3 linked regions of the Ovis aries genome follow. The protein of the gene in region 1 interacts with the protein of each later gene in a pairwise test. Links are inferred from orthologs where the notes say so. Each region holds a gene or a part of one and is shown in the gene's direction. Other genes may lie near its edges.

What was found. The genes of interacting proteins can lie anywhere in the genome.
Region 2: the proteins of UBE2E1 (region 1) and ZNRF2 interact in a two-hybrid assay, tested with the Homo sapiens proteins (2 studies listed by BioGRID). The link is inferred for Ovis aries from reciprocal best matches to the Homo sapiens genes UBE2E1 and ZNRF2.
Region 3: the proteins of UBE2E1 (region 1) and RNF111 interact in a two-hybrid assay, tested with the Homo sapiens proteins (2 studies listed by BioGRID and IntAct). The link is inferred for Ovis aries from reciprocal best matches to the Homo sapiens genes UBE2E1 and RNF111.

What each region holds. Positions count from the first base shown.
Region 1 is NC_056079.1:41,469,247-41,473,347, reverse strand, and holds the start of UBE2E1 (ubiquitin-conjugating enzyme E2 E1), read left to right. Parts: upstream 1-1,292; 5' UTR 1,293-1,455; intron 1,456-2,350; 5' UTR 2,351-2,383; coding exon 2,384-2,535; intron 2,536-4,101. UniProt on the Homo sapiens protein: Accepts ubiquitin from the E1 complex and catalyzes its covalent attachment to other proteins. Catalyzes the covalent attachment of ISG15 to other proteins. Mediates the selective degradation of short-lived and abnormal proteins.
Region 2 is NC_056057.1:67,506,528-67,510,178, reverse strand, and holds part of ZNRF2 (E3 ubiquitin-protein ligase ZNRF2), read left to right. Parts: intron 1-252; coding exon 253-358; intron 359-3,651. UniProt on the Homo sapiens protein: E3 ubiquitin-protein ligase that plays a role in the establishment and maintenance of neuronal transmission and plasticity. Ubiquitinates the Na(+)/K(+) ATPase alpha-1 subunit/ATP1A1 and thereby influences its endocytosis and/or degradation.
Region 3 is NC_056060.1:49,399,728-49,403,378, reverse strand, and holds part of RNF111 (E3 ubiquitin-protein ligase Arkadia), read left to right. Parts: intron 1-2,286; coding exon 2,287-2,606; intron 2,607-3,651. UniProt on the Homo sapiens protein: E3 ubiquitin-protein ligase. Required for mesoderm patterning during embryonic development. Acts as an enhancer of the transcriptional responses of the SMAD2/SMAD3 effectors, which are activated downstream of BMP.

The sequences.
Region 1 (4,101 bases):
GACTGAGGGATTGCTCTGTCTGGAGATAGGAGGCTGAAATGATGACCTATATGTATTTTCTTTCTCAGCTTTTAGACCCCTTGATTCCATGACAATTCTTGGTAGGTACATGTTTCCTGGTCCCTCACAATTACTTTATGAGTCTTAATAAAGTTGGAGTTTCCTGTTGAGGGCTCGGAGGGGTTTAGGTGGGTGGTAAGAACGCTTGTTTTCCTGGTTAGCGGATACGCCTCGGGCTTTATAAATTGTGTTGTACTGTGGTAACTGCAGCCACACTGCTGCCATGGGAAAGGACGGCAATTTGGATGAGATAATTCAGTGGCCCATGGAAATCTGACTGGACAGTGGCTTAATGTACTACACTTCCTACCTGTAACATCATACCTATTTCTTCAATTTCCTTCAATTGAAATGAGGAATAAATGTGAAACATAATCAATTTGATGGCTTGAAAAAAGTAATCTTGTTAAGAATACTAAATGAACAATTCAGAATTAGAGGGACTTTTAGAAAAATTGTATGATTATTTGAATGGCGTTTGTATTGTAGCTGAAGAATGTACAGCGGTCCCCCAAACTTTTAATCCAAATTCTGACACCAAAAATTCTAAATCCAGTCTAATGCAGTAGTACAGAGTGTATTCCCATTGATTTCTCACATTCGTGAGACTGTCACACGTTGGTTGGTTTTTTCTGTCACGAAATTCTTTGTATCACTTTTAGAAAACACCACCTCTGTCTATAAAAATGACTGGAAATACCTAAAATTGTAAAACGGCACGTGTCTGGGCAGAAAAGTCCCGTTCCTCACAGGCGAGCCTGCACCTACTTCTGCTCCTAGCAGGTAAACCGTCAGAGGGAGAAGCCAGGTCAGCCCATAGGAAAGCCTGTCGTGGGATTTCTCATTTCCCCTTAGGCTGATCACTTTTAGGAGCAGTTCCCGGGGCCATTCTCTCGTCCAAAGTCCTGGCTACCGGATCACCTGTTGTTTTTTTTTTTAAACCAGTCGGCCACCCTCGAGTCTCCCTGGCAAAAGCCCCTCGCGGGAGGACTTCCTCAGGTCACCTCCCCACTCGGAGCAGTTCTCGGCACCCGCACCCACTCCCAGCGCGGGCGGGGGCGGGGGCGGGGTCCCCAGGCCACGCGAGACCTCGGCCCCCCGCCCGGCGCCCGAGGTGCTGAGGTGCGCGCTGGGGGGAGGGCGCGCGTGCGGGGGGAGGGGCGCGGGGCGGGGCCTGCGCGGGCGGGGGCGGGGCCTGCGCGGGGCGGGGCCTGCGCGGGGCGGGGCGGGGCGCGGGCGAGCGTGTGTGGCGGGGGAAGCCATTGCCTGTTTAATAGTTGCTGCTGCTGCACTTCCGCTTCTCTCCCGGCGAGAGAGAGACACGAGTGGCCAGGCCCAGCCGCAGCCGCAGCAGCAGCCGCCGCGGCGGCACGGAGCAGCCAGACACAAAGAGAGGTACGGGGATCCCCCGCGCCGCCCGCCGGCCCCCGGCCGCGCCGCCGGGCCTCGGGGCCGCCCCTAGCCGCCCGGGCGGCCGCCGGGCGCGGGGCCGGGGCTGGGGGACGGCGGGGGGCCGGGCCCGCCCGCGGGGGGATGGGCGGGGACCCCGGGCCGCGTGGGGCGCGAGGGCCGCCCGCGGCGGGGGCGGGGGGGGGCTGCCGGGGCTCGAACTGTCAGCGCGGCCACGGGGGGCTCCCGGGGCCGCCGAGGCCCGTGGAGGGGGAGGGGAGGGGCGCCCCGTGTCCCCGAGGCGGGGGCCCGCGGGGCTAGCTCCCCAGGGCGGCCGCGCTCATTGTTACCCCTCCGCCGGGGAGGCCCCGTACCCCGACCCCGGCGGCGCCCTTGCCAGTGCTGGGACCCCCGCCCGGCCGCGCCCCCGGGGGCCGGCCCGGGACTGGGGGGGGGGGGCCTGGCCTCGGCGCCCCCGCCCGCCGCCCGGCTCCCCACCACCCACCGGCGCCCGCTCCCCGTCCCCGTCCCCCCTTTCGGCTTCCTCCCTCGCCCCTCCCCGGCCTCCCCGCCCCGCCGAACTCCGTTCCCGGCCCCCGCGACCCCCGGGGGCCGCCGCACACCAATCGAGGCCGGCCGGCCCGGCCCCCGCCCGGAGGGGAGCCTCGAGGGCGGCGGAGGGGCGGCGCGCCGCGCTCCCGGCCGGTCCCCACCGCGGCCCCCACTCGGGGCCAGGAATATAGACAAACAGCCCGCGTCCGACTCGCAGAGGCCGTGATGGGCCTGGAGATTCGGGAAAGCGCGTGGAGGGCGGGGGGGCGGCCGGGGCCCGAGCCCTCCTGACAGCGCCCGAGTTCCGTGTCTACACCGGCCTTTCTGTTTTGTCTCCCTCCTCCTGCAGGGGCTGTTTGCGGGGTGGGGCGGGGGGTTCGCTATGTCGGATGACGATTCGAGGGCCAGCACCAGCTCCTCCTCGTCTTCGTCCTCCAACCAGCAAACTGAGAAAGAAGCAAACACCCCCAAGAAGAAGGAGAGCAAAGTCAGCATGAGCAAAAACTCCAAACTCCTCTCCACCAGCGCCAAGAGGTACCCAAACCCCACCCCCGCCCCCCAAAGCAGGCTTCCTATTGCCCGCACGGCCTCCGGTTGCATTGGGTCCGCTTCCAGTGAGGGTAGCTTACACGCTCCTCAGGGCTTATGTGTTCATAAAAAGGGAAAAAAGGACCTTGAAAGCCCGAATTATTTCTCTCTCTTGCTGCTTCTGTTTTTACTTCTGATCATTGTCTCCATGCAGCTGTTGTGGCTTGCCTTCCCCGTATCTTGCTGCAGTTTGTAAGAATCCGCATGAGTGTTACTAGTGACCTCCAAATCTGATTTCAAATTATTTGTCCTGTTAATCACTAATCTGTGACCCTCCCCAAGACTGTCATCCCACTTAATTATTAATACCTGCCCGGACAGCTCTATCACGACGATTTCTATCTCTGTCTTACTGCCTTCTCACCTGTTGCACATAGGATCTCTCTTTGAATAGTGCTTTCTCCACACATGGCGTAAGGAATAACTAACTCACGTTAGCAGAGTGAAAAATTTAATAGATGGAGATGGATGTTTTCAGATGGGATTTAAAGAGATTTTTCTGATTTAGAGAGTTGAGGCAAATTAATGAGTCAATAAGTGATGTAAATTAGTTATTCTAGGCTGTTTTGGGGATTCTTTGTGTTTTTTTGAGAACCTCCACTTAAATTTCCGGGAAGCTCAAATTTTTTTTCATGCTGTTTTCTTTTATGCTGTAAACAAAACAAAAACACTTTTGTCAACACAAGTTGAATTCAAGCAGTAGCTCTTTTTCTTTTTTCTCTCCCTCTTATGTCTCTGATAGAAGTTACTTTTAATCTCCATCATCCTTCAGTAGTATCCTCTGATCCTCACGAGCCTTAGTCTACAGCAGATTCCTTGGAGCCTCCATTCCTTTTCATAAATCCGGTTGTCCAGTGTACAGTCATTAAACTTTAAAGTGGCAAACCAGGAAGATAATAAGGAATTGAAATGGTAGCTTAGGTAAAGATGTCTGTCTTAAAAGATCGTTAAAAAAATGGAACAGGAGGCTTTAAGTCTCTCCACTGAGTAGTGAGCCAAAACTTTTAGTTAGAAAGTTTGTCCTGTCATTTTCCCTGAAATTTGGAAAGTTGATAAAATGCTTTGGTGACCTAAGCACAGGAGATGAAGAAAAGACTCTGGCTTACTGTAAACAGTGTATATGTGTAGAGTTACGTGGCAAGGTGCCTTGGCAAGATTCTCATTTTCAGCGAGGTTGTTTGATCGCATCTCAGCTTCCCAGGAGTCCTGAGCGGCCCTCCGCTATCAGCCCTGTGCTGGTTCTCCCCAAGCCTGGCATCTCCCCTGCCTGCTTTGGATGGACCCTTCTCTTCATTCCCCCTCCCTTTTTCTGGGCTCTCTGATCCAAGCTGAGGGCAGCTTTTGGCCTGACCTAAGGCAGAATATTTGCGTTAGTTCATTAGCACTTTTATATTTTGCTGGATTACCCTAGTGTCCAGGAATATATTTGGGGATAAAGGCACAGGTGTCAAATATAAAATTGTCTGCTTTATGTAAGCAAATTAGAGACAGTTTTTTTTCTTCATTAGACAC
Region 2 (3,651 bases), on another chromosome or scaffold:
AGTTGTTTGCGAGTTGAAAGATTGTATACTGTGTTTTTATTAACTGTAATGCCTCCGTGAAATCTAAATGAAATTGAGAGACACTGTAAGTAAAGGTAAACATTGTTTAGTGAGTTACAAATAGTATTTCAAATATAGGTGCTGAATTTTATGTGCTTCTGACAAAAATATGCCAGACACCACTCTGTATAAGTCAGCATTCACATAATTCTTTTAGTTCTGTTGTCCTAAATGCATTTTCTTTTTTCTCAGAGGACGTACTGAGTAAAGATGCTGGGGAATGTGCAATATGCCTTGAAGAACTGCAGCAGGGAGATACTATAGCACGGCTGCCTTGTCTGTGCATATATCATAAAGGGTGAGTTTGCTTTTATGTCAGCCAAATTGATATTAGACTAAAAGACTTTGCTCAAAGTTTCAAATTTTGTAGTTACGGATGAAAGGTTTCTTCTTGATTGAAACTCCCTTCCCCCATTTCTTTAAAAAAAATTAAAAAGGCTTTTTTTCCCTTGTTGGTAATAAAAATCTGTTTACATCTCATAGTCTACCATTTGTTAAGCATTTACTATGACCCAGGTATTGTCTGTAGCTTCTTGAATAGGTTATCTTATGTAAGCATTACAACAGTCTCATTGTACCGTTGAGGAAATAAGCTGGGGGGCATGGTCACATGGCTAGGAATAAATGAAAGAACTGAGATTCCAGCCATGTCTGTTTGACTCCAAAGCCCATCTGGTTTCTGATAAAGTGTTTTGGTTTTAGGGCAACAAGGAAAAATTTGATTTAAGATGATTTAAAGTAAACTACAAAAAGAACAGAAAACTATAACTTTAAAAGCAATAGTGGAAATAACTTGGAATTTTATTTAAAAGCAGGGTGTGGACGTTGGAGAAAATAGTAAATAGTACCAAAACAAAGAGGCAAAAATAGATCCAATATCAGGAATTATAATAAATCCAAATGGTCAAACTAACCAGGTGAAAACAAATCAAAAGGTTGGAATATGCTGTTGATGAGCAGCACACTTAAACATAAGGGTACAGAACAATATGGACTTAAAGGGATAGAAGACTATATCCAGGCAAATGTTAAATAAATAAAACTGACAAAGCTAAATTAATATTGGAGAAAATTAACTTTATTGAAAAAAGTATTACTAGTGTTATATGATGATCCATGAATGAAGTTGCTTAGTCATGTCCTGACTCTTTGCGACCCCATGGACTGTAGCCCACCAGGCTCCTCCATCCACGGGATTTTCTACGCAAGAATACTAGAGTGGGTTGCCATTTCCTTCTCCAGGGGATCTTTCCGACCTGGGGATCTAACCCGGGTCTCGCGCATTGTGGGCAGACGCTTTACTGTCTGAGCCACCAGGGAATCCCTCCATTATCATTATCAATCCCTCCAAATCATTATATGATGATAATAGTATATAAAAACTACATTCTTTCCTGCACCAGAGAACACAGTCTCAAAGTAAAATATTTGTAGAATGGTTAGAAAAAATTGAGAAATCATCATGGTAATTGAAAATTTGAATATACTTCTCATTGAGTCAAACAGGCGTACACATAACTAGTTAAGACCTAGAAAAATTGAACAGTACGGTGAACAGATTTGATCTCATGAGTATTAATGGATGTATCTACACTCAGCAATTTAGAGAATACATTTTCTTGCCAGGAACATACAAAATATTGTAGAAATTGGTCATGTACTAGGCCACAAGGCAGATCTTAGTAAACCACAAAAAGCTGGTACCATACAGAAAGCTGTTTTGTTCTCTGAGCGCAGTTAGATGTCAATGACAAAAGATAAATGATCTTCACAAATACTCTTAAGTAACTTATAGATCAAAGAAGAAATCATAATGGAACTTAGAAAATATTCTGAATAATAATGAAAACCTTCTCAGCATTTTTCTAGGGTGATCCTTGCAAGATTTGTGTTACTGTGGAAAGAAAGACTGGAAATCAATAGTCCAAGATTTTACCTGAATTAGAAAATTGATAGCAGGATAAACACAAAGGAAACAAAGATCAGAGAAGAAAAAATTGAATGAAAAAATTATACACTAGAATAGAGACTAACAAAGTCAAAAGTTGATTCTTTGAAAAGAATAATAAAATAGGTTAGCCACTGGCAAGATTGTGTCTAGAAGGAAAAAATAAACAGTGTTAGAATGAAAAGGAACACATAACTTTAGATATAACAGGAATTAAAATAGTTGGAAAATTCTGTGAAAAATTTTATACTTTTCACCTAAAAATTTTAAAACAGGTAATTTGCTTAGAAATATAATATTGTCCAAAATGACTCAAAAAGAAATAGGAAATCCAAATAAAGTAGTAACTATCCTAAGTAGTTATTAAGACTAGCCCCCGAAAGTAACAACTGGTTTTTAAAAAGCCGAAACAAAACACTAAAGACAGGCCTACCATGACAGTTTGATGGCAAGTTGACCACGTAGCCGAACATGGGGTGGGCTTCCGTGATGGCTCAGTGGCAGAGAGTCTGACTATGATGCAGGAGACGCCAGGTCTGTCCCTAGGCTGGGAAGGTCCCCTGCAGAGGGAAATGGCAGCCCGCTCTAGTATTTCTTGCCTGGGAAACCCCATGGACAGAGGAGTCTGGCGAGCTACAATCCATAGGGTCACGAAGAGTCGAACATGACTTAGCAACTAAACAGCTACAACAAAACACTGTGTTAATAATCATAAATTCCTCCAAAAAGTAGATAATGATGGACGGTTCTCCCACTTATTTTATGAGTATAGTATATACTTGATACCCGTGTCAGACAAGAACAGTATAAGAAAGAAAACTAAAAGACACTCTCATTTATGAACATAAATGCAAAATCTGAAAACATAGTAGCAAACCAAGTTCATCAGTATATATGTAAAATAAAGCCTCTTGACCAAATTGGATTTATGTTATTAATAGTGATGTAAAAACACTATATGATTAGAAAATTTGTGTATATAATTTACCTCATTAGCAAAGGAAGAAGACTATATTAATAAACTCTATTTGCTATTAATTTAAAATCAAAAGCAAATAATAACAGATAATATGTTAAAATTAATAAGAATTTAGCTAGGTTGTCTGATAGGAGCTCAACATATGAAATAAGTTGCATTCATATCCCAGTAAAAAAATACATATATATATAACTTTTAGGATAATAACATTAATAGCAACAGAAACTGCAACAGGAATAAGATTTATTAAGAATAAATCTTACAAAAAGATATTCAAGATTTTAAAACATTCCTCGAAGATATTATAGAAAGTCTAAAATAAATACGTGGCATACGATTTTGTGGATGGGAAAACTCAATATCATAAAGATGTCACTGCACCCAAATCTATGTAGTTAATACTATTTCAATCAAATCTCAACTAGTTTTTTCAGATAGCTTGACAAGTTGTTTCTTACATATATATGGACAAAAGAGCAAAGGGTCAGGAATAGTCAAGACAATCATAAAGAAGTAAGTGATGTTGGGTGGTGGTGATGGGGTACTTATCCTATACAGATTCACTGTAAGACTCTTAACTGAGGTGGTATGGAGAGAATATAGGCAAGTAAGTGGAAAAGAATAGAGTCCATAAACACTCATGCATATAAAATGGAGATTCAAC
Region 3 (3,651 bases), on another chromosome or scaffold:
TGATTTGTAGAATTAATGTGTCACACTTGGAAGGAACCATGAAGGTCATTTAGTCCATCCACTGAATGGATTTAGTGTCCTAAAGGTATTTTCTTTTCTTTTCTGAAGTAACACATAATAAATGACATTTACTTGTGTAACATTTTGACATGGAGACGGAGATATAACCCCAGAAATGTTGTAGGAAGTGAAGATCGGATAATAATGATATTGCTATAAATATTACAGCCTATAGAAAATAGCTACTTTTGATTCAGCATAACTAAGATAGCTGTTGATCATAGTTTCTAGTATGCCAGTTGTGATTCTGTCCAGGTTACTCAAGAAATTTGAAATGCAAATGAATGAAAGGGATGTAGTTATCAAACTGACTTTGAATCTGCTATCATTTATGTTTTAAAAGTAAACAACTTGTTTTCTTTTTATCTTTTTTGTTTTTCTTACAAATTACTTGTGATATTTAACCTCTCAACTTGTGATAACAAGGTAGTATTAATTCCAGGAGGCTACTGGAGATTAGTGTAATTCTTTTCTATTTGAGTTTACAGACTCCTGAATTCTGGTTCTCAGGTTAAGAACCCATACAAAAGGGCTTAGGAAATTAGCCCAAATAGGCCAGAATAGGAACTTGAGGGGGGAAAAAAAAACAATATTCAGAGATTTAGAATAGAGATACTGCCTAACAGGGTTTAGGAAGAGTTTAGGTTTGCCCAGAAGAGACTCAGCAACTGCAGAATAAGACATGTATAGGAGGGCAGACCCTGGAGAATTACAGGAAAGTGTCATCAGTCAGAGCCACCCAGATTCGTTTATGTGAGTCTGTAAATTCCCTTCATTGTTTTAGCCAGTTTTGGTTAGATTTTTTGTATTGTTTATAAATAACCAGAAGATTCCTAATTGGTACATTGACCCAGAAGAGAATAGGTTTGTATTGTGAGCCAAATAGGAGTAGGGTATCCCTGGTATTGGTTATTCTAGAAATATGACTGGAACACAGGTGTTCCTCTAGAATCCTAAGAATTCTGAGGAGATGCCTCATGATTCATGTGAGGGAAAGGAAGGACAAGGCTTTGGGTTTTCTATTCCTCTAATGTTTATTTTTTAAGTAAAAAATGTATCTCCATTTTTATCTTTTTTTAATTTGCACATACGTAGTTTGAGGAAAGGGTGCTTTTTCTTAGAGGAGTTTGAAACACTAGGGTAAACCTTCTGGGGACACATTTGCTTTTCTTCTGGCCTGGAAGAATGTACCTTCAAAGTAACTCTGGGCATGCAACAGAGCATAATTAGGACTCAGATGTTTTATACCTAGAAGATTTTTATCTTTTCTAAGAACAACCATGCAGGATAGTTACTGCTACATTTAATAGGTGAGAAAGAGATTAAATAACTTTCTTAAGGTCGCATTACTCAGATTAGACAGGCTCAGGATTAGAATTTAAGCCCATCTGACTTCATGCTTTTATCCCACTATTCAACTTTGATTCACAAAATTATTACAGGAGACTTTTAATTTTCAACCAGGTAGAATCTTATCATTTCTTTTGTTCTACTGGGTTTGAGGTTAGAGACCAGAGAAAGGGAAAAAAATTAGAAGTTAGTAAGACTTAGCCAGATATGCTCTGAGTTGGATGGTTATATCTTTTAGAAGTTAAGATTTTAAGAAGTGACATAGTAGTCTTCATTATATAGGAATGATTTATAGTATTAAGAGTATTTGTTGTATATAATGGAGGGACTCCCATGATACTTTGGAGTTTTTAAAATGCATTTAAAACTAATAATTTATTTTTAAAAATTAAAAATTTATCGTGACCTAGGAAAAGGTGATTTATTGCCATATTTAAATGTCTTGGTAAATACAAGCCTCTTGAAGCTTGGAAGAAAATCCCAGTGAAGACCACTGCCTAAAATTATAGGATATACATGTTAAGAATGTGATTATATCACATTATTATTTACAGATACTTGAATTCACTAATCACTTATTATTCACCTGTTTTTACACATTTATACACAAGGTTGCTCAGTTGGTAAAGAATCTGCCTGCAATGTAGGAGACCCGAATTGGTCCATGGGTCAGGAAGATCCCCTGGAGAAGGGAATGGCTACCTTACTCCATCCAGTATTCTTGCCTGGAGAATCCCATGGACAGAGAAGCCTGGTGGACTACAGTCCATGGAGTTGTGAAGAGTCAGACATGACTGAGCAGATAAGCACACACACGTATTTTTTACACAGTGATACTTGATCATTTAATTGATCTGTGCATTTTTTCATTTCAAGATGACTCGAGGAGAACTGCATCTAATGCTGTAACAGAAACTGGCCCTCCTGCAATGCCTAGGTTACCGTCCTGCTGTCCCCAGCACTCGCCCTGTGGAGGGTCATCGCAGAATCACCATGCATTAGGACATCCACACACAAGTTGCTTTCAGCAGCATGGCCACCATTTTCAGCATCATCACCACCATCATCATACTCCCCACCCAGCTGTCCCAGTTTCTCCTTCCTTTAGTGATCCTACTTGTCCTGTGGAAAGACCTCCACAAGTACAACCACCTTGTGGAGCAAATAGTACGTCTAGTACCAGCTACCATGACCAGGTATGTGGAATTTGATGAGTTCTTCTTAATTTTTTAAAATTGCAGTTCCTGCCGGAGAAAAAAAATCTAGTGATAAAGTTTATATACCAAATAAGTCATTCTTTTTGCCCCTGCAAGAGTGGCGTAATTTAATGATCTGTGATTTTTTAAAATTAAATATTTAGGATTTTCTCATTTTTTAAATGATTGCAACCAATTGAGGGGACCAGGGATGTGGATAGTTGAATACTATTTTTTATTCTGGAATGTTTTTCAGTGTTTTTACTTAAATATAAGTGGATTTAATGTTTAGGATTTCATTTCAAAGGTGTTGAAACTGTAGTGTCAGCCTCATTCATGAGAAATTGGGGAATTCTCCCAGTTTTTTCCTCCTCTACCTCCTCTTCTGGAGCCTCCTGGTAATCTCCACTCATCTAGAAATAAACAGACTTCTCAGCTGCAAAACCATATGGGAGGAACCTCTTGTTTCTCAGGAGCAGATTAGGTTTTTAGTGTCTGGGAAATTGAAATATCAGCAGAAAAAATTATCAGTAATTTTTTTTGCTAATTAAGTAAATTGGTTGATATTATTAGTGAGTACTTAAAATGTCAATAATGTTAAATTCGTATTGGTGATCACATGGAGTAACTAAAGTGAGGTATTATGTGCTATTTTAATTTTTGCTGTGTTGTTTCTGTATATAATTGTGATGTAAACCTGGGTGGTGCATACTTTAAAAAACAAAATGGGTAATATAAAATGGTAAGTGACACATGTGTTTAAAAAAATGGGCTAGAAAAAGTTAAAGTGAAATTCAGAGTAACTGCTCCACTGTACCCTCTCCTCTTTCCTCAAGTACTTTACTTGCTTCATCTTTTAAATTTTTGATGATTATCTCTTCTGGTTCTGACAAATTAAAATTAAGAAAGTGAAGTGTTCCCTTAAGAAGAAGAAACTAGCTGCTGATATTAAAAAAAATGGAAAGGGTTTAGTAGGAAATGTGATTAAAGAGATCTTAGGTGATGTTTTGGCTCTGGTAACAGCAGTTTTAAGTACGGACATCTG